Linked DNA regions of Drosophila melanogaster. The protein of the gene in region 1 interacts with the protein of each later gene in a pairwise test. Each region holds a gene or a part of one and is shown on either strand. Other genes may lie near its edges.

Evidence for each region. Proteins that work in one complex are often made in the same cells at the same time.
Region 2: the proteins of Mcr (region 1) and egg interact in a two-hybrid assay, tested with the Drosophila melanogaster proteins (one study listed by BioGRID).

Annotation. Positions count from the first base shown.
Region 1 is NT_033779.5:8,079,260-8,085,466, forward strand, and holds the start of Mcr (macroglobulin complement-related), read right to left. Parts: upstream 3,724-6,207; 5' UTR 3,552-3,723; intron 1,354-3,551; 5' UTR 1,352-1,353; coding exon 504-1,351; intron 409-503; coding exon 1-408.
Region 2 is NT_033778.4:24,774,385-24,781,656, forward strand, and holds egg (eggless), read right to left. Parts: upstream 5,518-7,272; 5' UTR 5,430-5,517; coding exon 4,491-5,429; intron 4,433-4,490; coding exon 4,315-4,432; intron 4,244-4,314; coding exon 3,960-4,243; intron 3,907-3,959; coding exon 3,651-3,906; intron 3,589-3,650; coding exon 3,083-3,588; intron 3,025-3,082; coding exon 2,263-3,024; intron 2,192-2,262; coding exon 1,475-2,191; intron 1,417-1,474; coding exon 1,210-1,416; 3' UTR 1,150-1,209; downstream 1-1,149. Other genes in the region: Eps-15 (epidermal growth factor receptor pathway substrate clone 15), read right to left, coding at 1-121, 193-429, 524-589; Lcp9 (larval cuticle protein 9), read right to left, coding at 5,651-5,917, 5,974-5,985; CG3594 (uncharacterized protein), read left to right, coding at 6,574-7,272. UniProt on the Drosophila melanogaster protein: Histone methyltransferase that specifically trimethylates 'Lys-10' of histone H3 (H3K9me3) in ovary. H3K9me3 represents a specific tag for epigenetic transcriptional repression by recruiting Su(var)205/HP1 to methylated histones.

The sequences.
Region 1 (6,207 bases):
GGCACATTATACTGCACTTGCGGATTCTGGTTGGGATTATTGTAGCGCCATCGCTCATTGTATAGGTTAGTTTGCTCCAAAGGTGAACGACCCAGGCGATACTTCTCATTTAGAACTTGGTTGCTGAAGTATCCAATTGGGCGGATCGTGGCCTTGATTGTGAGATTGCCTCTAACTGGTAGGCCACTGGTAAAGTTAGCCATCACCCTTCCGTAGATAAACGGATCCGTTGTGAAGAAGTACGCAGGCATGGTAACATTCACTTCGAATCGGGTCTGATAGTATTCCTCCACGGTGAAGTGACTCTCCTCTTGCTGTCCCTGAGCTATTACACGGATAGTCCATTCTCCAAAAGTGGGCTGATCCGAAAGTTTGTACTCCAGCGAAACGGAACCCAAGTTTGATTGACTGAAAGTTAAAAGGAAATAGGTTGTTTATTTGCAATTTAATTTGTTGATGGAGAGGAACTATTAAGACGTATGAAATATAATAATTCCACTTACCGCGATAGCCAACGTTTAAGAATATGCCTGTTTGGATCCAGCATGTACACATCGACGGGATTGTCAAATCCCTTCAGTTCGGTGGTGATCGGAATGGTCCTAAATCGCACAGTTTCCCCTTGCATATAAAGAGGCTTATCGGTCTGCACAAATATCGTCATGGAGCGCTGTGAGAAGTCTAGTCTTGTTTCGTTCAGGAAGGCGAGGCCACCGAAAACGTTCTGGTAGAAACCTTCCACTCGAAGCTTATAGCTTCCAGTCACACTAGTTGGTGGGATCCTCATGAGCAACGTCTCCGGTATGCCCTCCTTGACATCCTTAGAGTCTCCGCTGATTTGGACACCATCGCACGCGATGCTGGCATGAACGGTTATCGGGTACTGAGCTTGAAGAATGGATACGGACACCTGATAGATTAGACCAGGTCTGACCATTCGAGATGCCACAATGAAGTAAGTGGGCTCCCTGGAATGCAGCGATTCCAGGAAGGTGGCCTTGATGTTATAGGACGACTTTCCACGAGTCAGACTCGGCTCCTCGTTGTCCTGATAGCCTCCTCCCACTCGTTTATTATAGTCATCTTGCCCGGCAATATCGTTGTAGCTCCCCGAATCGGTCCTGTACGGCGGGCGATCACTGGGATTCGTTTGGCCAAAGTTTTGGTTGTTGTTGCTATACTGATTCGTCTGTGGATTGTTACCCCACTGCTGGTTGGGCAGTAGCGGCTGCTGGGGATTCTGCTGGTTCTGGTTGGGGTTGTAGTAGTTGTCGTTTTGTCCGACCGCCGGTTGCAGTGCATCCAAGACGGCGGCTACCACGAGCAGGGCGCGCAGCAAGTGCCACATCATTGCTGAGAGGAGAAGTCAGAAGTGAATGAATTAGAATCGCTGGGCATAAATGCATCTCCCAAATACTATAAATAGAGGCCTCTGATTTGGGTGATCGGCCTGTTCTTTAATGCCTGTCGAATAGGGTGTATCAATGGTTTTCAAAACAAATTTTCGAGTTTATTCGATTTTTCGATAAAAAATAGTAAGCTTTGTATGAAGTTTTTTTGTGATATTGAATAAGAATCACTTTTAACATCCCTGAATAAGCTGCTCTTTAAAAATAAGTGCATAACCTCCTACCAATACTTTGTTTTAAATATAGCCTGTAGTTAAGTACTTAAGATTTTTTTAAATTTTTCGCATATATGTATTTCCAAAGCACCCTAATCCCTAAGTCATGGACCGCATCTCATGTTCGAGGATTGTTGTTGGTCGGTTGATTTCCGCGTGATGCGAACAAGTCGTTAATGAGGGCGCCGACATCGGTATTAATAGACTATAGACGCGATCCGGCAGGAGCAATGAACGTATCTTCAGGGAGATCTTTTTAAGGGGCCAGCGGCAATATGGAAACTATGTCAAACATTAAGTAAAATGTCATTCAAGTGGGCGGCGCAATTAGACAGCAGAGATGTATGCCACGCTGGGATTTGAGGCGTTCGAATCTTCTTTTGAATGGGTTTTTAATGCCTTCGTTATTTATGGTTGATTTATAAGAGATTACGAAATCTCAGCTTCACAAACCACTTTGATTTTCGAGGAATAATTATGAATATACCCATACTATACTATAGACAATTTTTCATATCAATAATGATGTGAACTTTTAATTTAATCTACTTAAAATTCAAAAGTATGACAAATTGTAAGGAACGTTTGAACTCAATTAAAACAGTTCTTAGGAGTTCTTAAAAAATTCATTTTTAAAAATTATTTATTTTTTTTTTGCAAATTGCTGGTGGAGAAATGTGTGCAACATTAAAAAATGCGCATATTTAAGTATTCCAGCTTATCAGCACACAATCAGCCGGCACACAGGGAATACATCATTCGAGCAAGGACCTCGAAATCCTCCCTACTCAGGTATTAACTCCATGGTGTAGGGTAAGAAGTCAACGCTTAATGGCAACCATACAAAAAGGGTCCACGCCAGGAGAACAATGAGGCACCGGCACCGACTTCTAGACAAGTGAGGTGAAATGAAATTGAAGGATGGATGGAGGGAGTGCGTGTGTGTGTGTGGCTGGCTGCATTTGAAATGCATTCACTGGCGAGCAAATGAAGGTAAAGGTAGACCACTGGAACTGAGCGAAACACGCAAATGAAACAACCGGCTACCTGACCATAGATATCGGCCTGGGCGAGATACTCTGTGCACTGAAGCAGCAGAAGTTACTGGCCTATAGGCCAGTCTCTACTCTCGGCGGTGAAAACAAATACCGAACTCGTAATAATTTCAACAACGCGACTTGTAATCCACCCTTTGCGCACAGCTACACAGAGAGAAAATAGTTTACTAGATTTATTTTTTTCACCTTTTGAAATAAATAAGATCTTGATTAAATGGGATTTTTCATATTAAAAATATAAATATTTTTCATTATAAAAAAAAATATTGAATTTTGTTATTTAAAAAAATCTTTTTATAGAGTTTTCTTTCGTTTAAAAATGCCATTTCGGTATAACATTTCTATATAACAAATATATTTGACATCACTTTTTCCAGTGCAAGAGGGCGCACCAGCACCAGCGTAATACACAAGTAAAGTGGGCATTAATTAGCCGAGAAGACCCATTCGAAATGAGTTGAGAGGGCAAAAGTGCAATTGAAACAGCAGGCAGGACATTTTGGGCGGCCAAAGGAGCAACTGTTGGCGGAAATTCGAGAGCTTGAAGGCAGAAAAACGAAAGAAGACGCCGCAATCCAATTGGCCAGCAGGTGGCCAAAACGCCATCCTCACTCACATTTCCTTTTAGTGGCAAAGTGTTCCTAACGAAAAACTTCCTTTACAATTACTAATTAAAGCAACGAGCACATAGTACAAAGTTGTAACCAATATTTGAGGCACTTCTTCGTTTTTCGGTCAACGCCCATGTGCCAACAACAACAACAGCAACAACACAATAACACTGGCTTAGGCATTTTGGAGACGGCCAAACACACGATTTTTGGGCGGGTCGCCAAGTGGAAGAGCTCCGAAAAGCCATTTCTACTCACCTCGGTACTGAAATTCGATCTAATCTGGCTGCTCAGCAGGCCATGCACATTTTATTAAACAACAGAAAGGTAAATAAAACTAACTCGGGAACTCAAAGATTCGAAAAAATGAAACAACACAAAACCAACAGCGATCCACACCCGCTTTGATGACTGATGCAGTGTGACCGTTCGCAGAGATTGGCACAATACCAGATTTCAGGTGTGGCCAGAACGCTAAGAATTTAACGGTCGCACTGCGAGTTCAAACTGCTGATGTGAAAATTTTATAATTCCTAATGATTTTAATGTCATAATAAATTAGGAACAAAGGAAGTAAGCTCATAACGTTACAAAAGTTTATCAGAAAAGCGTATTTTTATTTATTAACTAAGTTTAAGCTTAATCTGCGAACCAGTTATAATTTACGTGTTTCCACAGAATTCTAAGAATAACATATTGCTAGAATATATGAGGGAATTTAGTTCTTAGCCTGGGAGTAAGACAGAGATGGCAAAACTTCATCCGCTCAGCGCCAGTGTTGGATAATGGCATTCTATAGTCTTTTTAGTATATATCGTTCAGTATTTTTGCTACTATTTGACTATAAGCCTTGGTCATACCACCGCTTCAGTTGTCTGTGTGTGTGTGTATTGTATGCATGTGATGTAAGGTCATTCGCGTGAAAATATCAGCGAGGAAAAAATCGAATTTTTGTGTTTTGTGTGCTAGGTAAATGCGAAAAATTGTGCAAAGTCGATCGGTTTAAGGCCCAGTCTGTGTGCCAGCGGTGAAAGTGTGAGCCCCCTCGGTCATTTACGTGTGAAAAGTCGCCAAGAAGTCAAAGGTGCTGGGTTGCCCAACGCAAAAATTATGACGAAAAGCACACCAGCACAAGTACCCATCTCTCTCTCTCTCTCACACACACACACTCGCACACGCAGCAGAAGCAAAAGCAGTGGAGCTGGGAGAGCTAGAACCTAGAGTTGTCAACGCTTTGCGAGGAATTTCGTCATTGAGCGGTGGCATGTGTGTGTGTCAGTGCGTGCTCAGTGAGTGTGTGTGCGAGAGTGCGTGCGTGTGTATTGGTAGTTTGTTCTCTTCATTGGTAGTAAAACACAAAAGAAAAATCATCGGGGAAAAATGTGAAAAATGTACATAATTCGTAACCCAGTCTGCGGCTAGTGCTCGCCAGCCAGTGCCCGAAAATCGTGCTGAGATGAAACACCGCGCACCGATTGAAAAACTATTACATAAATAGTGCAAAGTGTAAATGTTATTGAAGGCAAAAAAGCGGAGCAGCGTTGGGAAAAAGAGCCGCGCACGCTGTCGTCATCGCTGCTCAAAAAGCAAGAAGAAAGCGAAAAAGAGAAATATAAAGACACCCCCTTCCTTTGCCACAAAAGAAAAGAAATGAAATGAAAATGGAAACCCAGTAACTAAAATCCCCAACGCGTTACTGTCACAATGCCGAAAAGTGCTTAAAAACCATATCCGTGTCTGTGTGTGGGTGTTTTCCCTGCTCTGATGTACATACTCCAGTGTGATGCATGATGTACGATGTACTACACTATTCATGCCAATAACATTTTGTTAATACCGTAAATAAACTAATAACATTTAACGCGTGCGATTGTGTGGGTGTTGGGGAATACGGCCCTGCGCCTGTGTGAGTGACCTCGTGTGCGTGTGTCGCGTGCTCCGCTAGTGTTGGTGTATCTTTGCAAGTGTGTGTGTGTGCGGCGGCAAGGAGTGTCATGCGTATATTCTACCTCCCACAACCCCCTACTTACCCACCACCCCCACCCGCAACCTCACACCCTTTTCGAACACTGACCCACTCGCAGGGCCTATCCAACAGCAACAACAACAAAGCCAACAAGCAGGCGGCAGCAGCTCCTTTGCTCCAACGAGTTTTATCTTGTTTTGCCGTTTTAATCATATGCGGGCGCAGAGAAAGGAGAAAAGCCATCGAGCAAGAGAGTGGGAGAGCGTGGAAGGGGAAGAGAAGAGCAGAGCAGCGAAGAGGAGAGGAGACAATCACGTCATCCAGCCTGCCATGACACACCAACATCAACATCGATACAGTGAGGGCTCTCGGCTAATGAACAGCGGCTCAGAATAGATAAACTCGTTCTTTATTGTGGTTACCCCAGAGCTGTTGGCCATATCAAATTCCATTGCATACCTCGGCGATCGCGGGCACAGTGGGTTGCAATCCGTTTATGGTAGGATACTTTAAAGAAATGCTGGATTTCAAACACTAGTCTTATTGGGACATCTTAAACATTCGTTCTTATAGCATACTTTGCGGATTACACGCACTTTGTCCTTAAATGGAAACCAAATTGTGTTTTTTGGGCTAAAAAAAAAGCAAACAAAGCAAGGAATTATATATTGCATTGGTCATCTTTTGGGGTTTGCTGGCTTTTAAAGTTAATGGTTCTGTGTTGAAAACTTTACCTTCGAGAAATTCAGAAATAATTCCTCGTGTGCCAAAGGTTTTTACTCAAGAAGTTTGCCTGTAGTTTTTAGATGATTCAAATCACAACCCGGATTGTAACCGTTTTCTATCTATTTCGATTTGAAGACGGCTTCACTGTACACAGCATTGATGACAACACCGAGATACACACATCTAAGTAAACCCTGTTGGCGAAATAAAGAGGAACGCATG
Region 2 (7,272 bases), on another chromosome or scaffold:
CGAAGAGCTGCTCGTACTTGAGCCGATCGATCACCCCGATGGACCAGTCTCCGTTTGCCACTCCGCCGCTAGCAACGGGAACAGTCTGAATACGCGACGGCATCGTTTTTGGTAGTTCACCCTGGCGATTGGGGCGACATTAATGTAATATATCTCGTCTTGCCCATTTCGGGCGAAGTTGCGATTACTCACCAACTTGGGCGGGTTGGCAATGTCCAGGTAGATGTTGGCCATGCTGGCCACCTGTCCCGCCTGCGACAGGGACACCAGCTTAAGGGCTACAAAAAAGCCCGGCTTGTCCAGAAAGCCCTTGCCGCTCGGATCAGACAGGTCCCAGATCCTGCTTAGCACAACGTCGCTAAGGCCCGACTTCTTGAGAAACTTGGCCGCAGTCATGGCCTCGATTGCCCCTGTGCCTTTGGGGTCAATCTGCAAAAATCGATAGAGGGTGGGTGTGGATACGGATGCTCAACATTGGCCGCCATCCTGGTAACAGTGCGGCTTGGAGGCGTGGTGCGCTTACCAGTTTGTAGTAGGCCTCGTAGACGCCTATGTGCTTCCCGCACACCCTCGCAAAGTCCACATTCATGGTGTGGAGTCTACTGGCAATTGGTTCCGACTAGCAGTGCAAAAACGCGTAAGCGTAAGCCCGTTATCACAAAATCGATTTTTTCTTCCCAAGGGGCGGATAAGCTGCTCTTAGTCAGCCGTCGGCGGAGTCCTGCTGCCTAGCACCTGTGCACCTGCGACGAGACACTTGCTGGAGCCACTTACAGGTGAGCTTGGCGCATTGCGGCCCCTAATTTAGCTACTCTCGAATTTTAAAAAGCCTAAATTTGCTTTTTTGCTCGGTGGATAGTGTGACCGTTCGGATAACGATTAAAAATACCGTACGGCTGATGATTAAGTATACCACTAGGTAAAATGCGTTAAAATACCACATAAATTAATACCGTTAAATTAACGAACATTATTATTTTTTTAAAGTATAATTTTTTAAAATTCATTTGTCTATATTTATTCCTTTAACACTAAACGTGAAGAAAATTGTGTACTTTGAAACGGACGGTGCAGAACAGCAGTAGCTTATAAAAATGCAATGTTTCCGTTACCCTAACGGAACAGATAATGTTTAAAGTTTAAATTTTTAATTCTAATTCTTCTTTAATGAGTATATTTCCTGTATGGATCTCTAACTTAAGCTAGAACTTAGAGCAGACGAAGGCGGCAATTGGGGGCCCCGCACTGGCAGTACAACACCTTGCCGGGCACCACGCCCACCTCGTAATTGTAGTTCCAAGTCAGCTCGGTGCCGGAGCGGATGTGCGCGGCCGAGAAGAAGGCAACCCAGGGGAAACGCAGGTCGTGAGTATCCACGAACACGTTCTGCACGAAGAGATTGGGGCTGCACGAGTGCTGCGGGAGAAGAAGAGAATCAGCCACACGGCAAAATAACAAAAAACTTCCAACTCACGTTGAAATAGCGTCCAAGGTTGCCCGTTGTCTTGGCGTCCATGATGTAGGGCGCCTCGTCCTTGCCGAAAAGCCTCCGCACCGAGTTCTCCCGCACCGTCTCGTCCAGATCAGCATTTGGGTTAAAGTTGATCACCGCACGCTCCTGCGAGTCCAACTCGCTGCTCTGAGTGGAGCTGTTCTGCGTGGAGCCGCTTCTGGAAGAGCGCTTGATTTTGCGCTGGTAGTGATAGTTTGGCCGGAAGTCGTCATCGTCCTCGGCATCGGGTCCCCCGTTGTCCTCCTCGGCGTCCGGGTCCGAGTGGTCCACCTCCGACTCGTATCCCTCTTTTAACTGTTCAGCGACCTCTATGTAATCTAAGTCCGCGAAATACTCGTCGCCGGCGTCCTGTCCGCCTTCGTTGGCCATCGTCTCCGTGAGCAGATGGCCGGCGTAAATACAGATGAAAGCACCCTTGGGGATGTCGTTAACGCAGCGCAAGCCCCATCCACGATTTGAGGTCTTGAACACCTGCAGTTTCATCTCTAGGGAGAACTGCACCACCCGGTTCAGGCAATTCTTCTTGCACTTGCAGCGCGAGTTGCACTCGTAGATGCCGGTGGGCACGTGCTCGTGGAGCCGCTTGTACTGGTAGCCTATCTCCTCGATGGGTTTCTTCGGGTTACAGTACCGCACGCCCGCCACCGTTAGCTGCCAACAGGCGCACTTTGACTTGTCCTGATAGGGATACACAAAATAGTGGGCGGCTGGGTATAATTTGAGGTAATCAGATCTGTAAGACGTCTTACCGAGCAGTCGTCCTCGCAGTCGCAGCACAAGAGGAACTCCTCGTCCAGATTCAGATGAACACCCTCGGTAGGGATGCGCTGCTTCGCGTAGGTGCATGGGGGCGGCAGGGTGTTGTCGTAGTAGTTTACCAGCGGAATCGCCATCTTCTCCTGCCCCTTTGAAATGTCCGTGTCCTTCACGATCGAGGGATCAATGGAGTACTCGGCCAGACACTTGAGGTCGGGCGTAAAGTCAAAATTGTCTACGTTCAACACATTTTCAGTAGCTCGAAGGTACCTGTGAACTTCGGCCAGGCTGCGCAAGCTTTTGCCACAAGGTCCCTTGTATACCACAGACTTCTTGGTCTTCTGCCGCATGACAAGACGTTCCCAGCCAGAAAGCAGAGGCTTCGCTAACGGACTGTAGCTGTCCAGACGGTGAACGATCTTAAAGAGGCAGTTCGGGCTGCACTCGTGGCACTTGTACATTTTGGGAGGCAGATTCCGCTTGGCTGTAAAGTAGACTACATGGCCCTTGGGCCTGTTCTCGTCGTCCACGTAGATTGTCGAGTTGTTTAGGTGTCGCACAGCACTTGCGCTATTACTGGTGCTGACACCTCCTGCATTGGTGCGTCCTCCGGCTGGGGTTGCTGCCGAAGATGCAGCCGCTAATGCGTTATTTTGGGCGGAGGCGCTGCTCTTGCGGGCAAAGGCACGCATCTGCTGGTTCACCTTGCTGCTGGACTCCATCTCCTTGGTGTACCGAATAAAGGGCTCCGTGCGCTGAAAAAGAAAGACATTTTGTAGTTAGGACCGCAGGATGAATCGACACGATGCTTACTCTTGGGACACGCAGCTGCTGTGCGCTTGAACTGTTCATATTGTTCTGGGTTTCCCTGAAGACAGGACCCAAGCGCAATGAACCCCTGTATATCCACTCCGTATGGTTTTTGTCGCCCTCAAACTGCATCAACACCAAGCTGCAGTCGATGTCAATGACGCGCGCGTACAGCCAGGTCCCGTTCGATTCAGTGGTCATACTTTGTCCCCGGGTGCATTGCACCATTGGACGATCCACGGAGTACTTCTCCACGTACTTCTGTATGAAATCGCGCGATGCGGCGTGTACGTCCTCCCACACTTTCTCGGAAGCCTGGCAAACTAGACGGACATCGCGGTGCGGAACGTACTGAGTGTACCCATCGTCGTAGAATATTAGGTAGCGGTAGCGATTGGCCTGCTTCAACGGCTCAGCGATGATGCCTGGATAAAAGGCGCTCTGCACCACGCCCTTATCCTTGCCCCGCGACAAAGTGGTGCCATCGAAGTACGCAATCACGCGGGTACCTAGTGCACAATGAGTGGGTTAGTTTATAGATTGATAAATAACCGGTCTATTGGGAACTAACCAATGGTCAGTCGCACTGGCGGTGGTTCGAAGTAGGCAATGTGCTTGGCCGTCACTGTCTTGATCATCTGGTACGGAGTGTTGAGGTACCTAATCTTGTAGCTCTTCATCGTGTTTCCGTTGATGGCGGTGCTCTCTGTAAACTCGATTACCTTTATGGACACCCAGCTGGCAATAGCCTTGTTCTTAACAGCGTAGTATGTCTCTCCCAACTGTATTGGAGGACGCACGATTTCGCCAGGAGGTGGAACTTCATGCTGAGTAAATGGTTGTATTAAATCAGATCCAAACGGCATCACTTCTTACTTACCACATAGTCACTGGGTTCAATGTCCAGGGTGGGCAGATGTTTGTGTGCCACCGGACACGAGTTATACAAAGCGCAGTGCATTTTGTCAGCGGTGGTCTGAACTTTTTCGAGTTCCACATCTGCCAGTGCGAATTGTCGCTCCAAGTGGTCTGCTTTCGCCTGGAGAATAGTTTTTGACCAGGACAGCTGAGCCGTAAAATCCACCTTGTTAAGTACATTTTTGATGGCATCATCGAGTTCATCTTCGATGAGCTGCAGCTTGTTTTTCGAAAAGTCCGATTTTTCTGTGCGGATAAAATATATTTAGTACGTTTTTTTTTTTGCTATTGTTTATTTATCATGATAGCAGTCTCACCTGGCTGCTTCTCCTCTTCCTCCTCATCGCTGCTGTCCAGAGCCACAAAGTCGGCGTGATCCTGATGGAAATCCTTTAGCAGCAGCGGCTGCTTGGCCATTAGTTGTCCAGCATACTCCTAAATAAAGAAATACGTTCTAAGTTTCCCTCTTAAGTTAATAAATATGCTAGTTGACCTCATACAAGTCCATTGCTGTGTCATGGCATCCCATGCAGAGGAACTGCTGCTTGGAAGACTTTCGGAGCACCTGGTAAAAGTTTAAAGTGGCCATGTTAGCCAACACGTACTGTTTATGAAGCTTTGTGCAATTGCAGTTGACACATTCCTTGTCGTAGAAGACATCTCCATCTGATAACAAAGCGTTCAGCTTCTCGTCTTCTGCAGCTTTCGGAGCAGTGCCCTTTTCAAGCTCCACCTCTAGGACATCGTCTTTTTTATCAACAATTTTGTGTTCTTCGATTTCCGTTAAGCTAATACGCTTGTGACCTTTTAATGTATTCTCAATTTTGTATTCTTCTGCTGGTCGACTTATTGACTCCTCGACGTCCTGATCTACCTCCATGCCAGGAGGTTCTTGCTCATTTTCCTTATTGGTCTTTTCATCTTTTTCAGGAAAACTTTCGGATGTGGGACTGCTGATGCTGCTATCAGTCATTTCCTCGGCCTCTTTAGCCGCAGCTTCATTGACAGCATCTGGTTTTGGCGGATCTTTCTCACTTTCGTTGGCGGAGGAGAATTTGACAGGACTCTCTATTAGCTCAACACTGCTGTCCGAATCCACAGCTACCAAAACCGGGCTGCTTGCAATGGCTTTCGTGTTCTCTCCCTTGCGGTCCTCCGATTCGTCGGCCAACTTTCCAGGTTCATCAGGGGCCTTACCTCCATATGGGCACTGCTTCCTGGTTGAACCGGTGGCGGCGATTGCTTCACTGTGTGTCAGTTCCTCAATTTCCACATCCTTTGCGGCTTGTTCTGCAGGAGACTCCAAGCTATTTTCTCCTTTGCGCACCGGCAACCCGTAACTTTTTTCCCTCGACGCCGGTGTTTCTTGGACATCCTCCACTGTGCTTCCACTGCTCTCTAAGCAGTCCACGGCTGTTGGCTGCCCAGACATAGTTTTAATGAGTTTACTTAACTTTACACATTAATGCAAATTTGCGAGACAAGCGATAACATTGTATAAAATTTCGCTCGTAATTTGCCAGCCCTAGATTTTAGTGGCAGAAAGAAGAAGAGTGTCTATTCACACAAAAGAAAAAGAACGGAAATTCAAAATGTTCGCTGCTGCAATGGATTTAATTTTTTATTTCGGTCTTCGGGAGTGGGTCCTGTTCATTAGGCCTCGACGACCTTTGGGTGGTAGCCGGTTTCATCGGCGGTGTAGACCACTTTGACGGTCTTGCCGTTGGGGGCCACGTACTCGTACTCCCCGGAAACCACCCAGTTGTCGTGCTCCTTCAAGGCTCCAGTTTGCACGGCGCGAATATGGTTGGATAGCTCATAAGCGTAGTTAAAGTCCAGCAAGTTAACCTCGGAGTCGCTCTTTACAACATCAGCCTCCTCGTTGGCGAAGACCACGGCCAAAAGGCAGGCAAGAACGATCTAAAAGACAAATCGTTGTTCAGAGGTCCCCAAAATCTAATTTCGATGCCACTTACCACAAACTTCATGGTTGGAAAGGGGATGTGTGTGCTGATAGATAGCGATAAAATTTTGACTGCTGGTTGCCGAAAATTGCGCTTTTATATGTAGCTCTCCACTGACATTTTACCGGCCGGAATCACCAACTGCATAAATTTTCTTCATAACTGGCTCCCAGCGGTCGTTTGTCTTAATTAAACAAAAGACATAGATGCAGTCATTCTGCAGGCATTAATTATCGCCCCACTCGGCATATCATATTCGGGGGGTTATCTTTGGAGATCTGTGCGGAAGATTCCCAAAACAACCACGTTCATCAATTGTCAGCACCGCACGATTAATTTTTAGCTGATAAGAGCTAACCGGTTCCTTCGATGCTAACGCCGATTAGCATTATTTTCGCATAACTCCATTAGCAGTCTGATTTTGCTCCCGCAGTTGCAACCGGTTTCTAACAAGCTGCGATTGCAATATGGCCTGGGATTTGAATTTCTTGGCGCGCAATTAGCCAGTGCTGGAAAATGTCTGGGACCGCACAGATTTGCCATTCAGAGGGAATCCCACGTGGTGGTGTCTGCGTATCGGTGTGCACTGCAATCTCCCCCAGAAATATCACGATGGCCAGTGATTCTGGCAGCGATTATGAGGTGGAGGCTTTCTTCAATCCCAAGCGAGTTCAACGCACAGTCAACGACGACAGTGCGGATCTATTGGGAAACTTCGATGACCAGAAGCGAAGGGAGATCTTCGAGGGCACGTATGTGGACAAGGAGGACGGACGGAATCCCAGTGACCCGGAGGATAGTAAGAGCGAGGATGAGGCCAAGTCCGACGACGAGGCAGCCGCTGAGGGCAGTGCTGCTTCCGGAGCCGAGGAAGAGGAATCTGCGGAAAATGGGCAGATAACCAGTGACCAGCTGAGTTCACTGCTTCGAGGAGCCTCCAAAACCAACAGACACGTCCTGTACGTGACGAACCTGAACTTCGAAACCACAAAGGACGACCTGGAGCTGCACTTCTCTGCGGCAGGCACGGTCAAGTCTATCCGCATTCCCAAGAAGCGACGAGGGGGCTTCGCCTTTGTGGAAATGGCCGACCTAAGCAGTTTCCAGAATGCCTTCCAGCTGCACAACACAGAGCTGCAGGGACGCAACATCAAGGTGCAGATCTCCGAGGCGGGCAAGAAGAAGTCGGCCAACAAGAAGAACATCATCAAACAGAAGAACCGAAAGCTGGCCGAGATGCGCAACGAGCAGAAGACCTTCACGAAGAGCGGCAAGTTTTACGACAAGGACCTGAAAAAGGAGAAGGCCAAG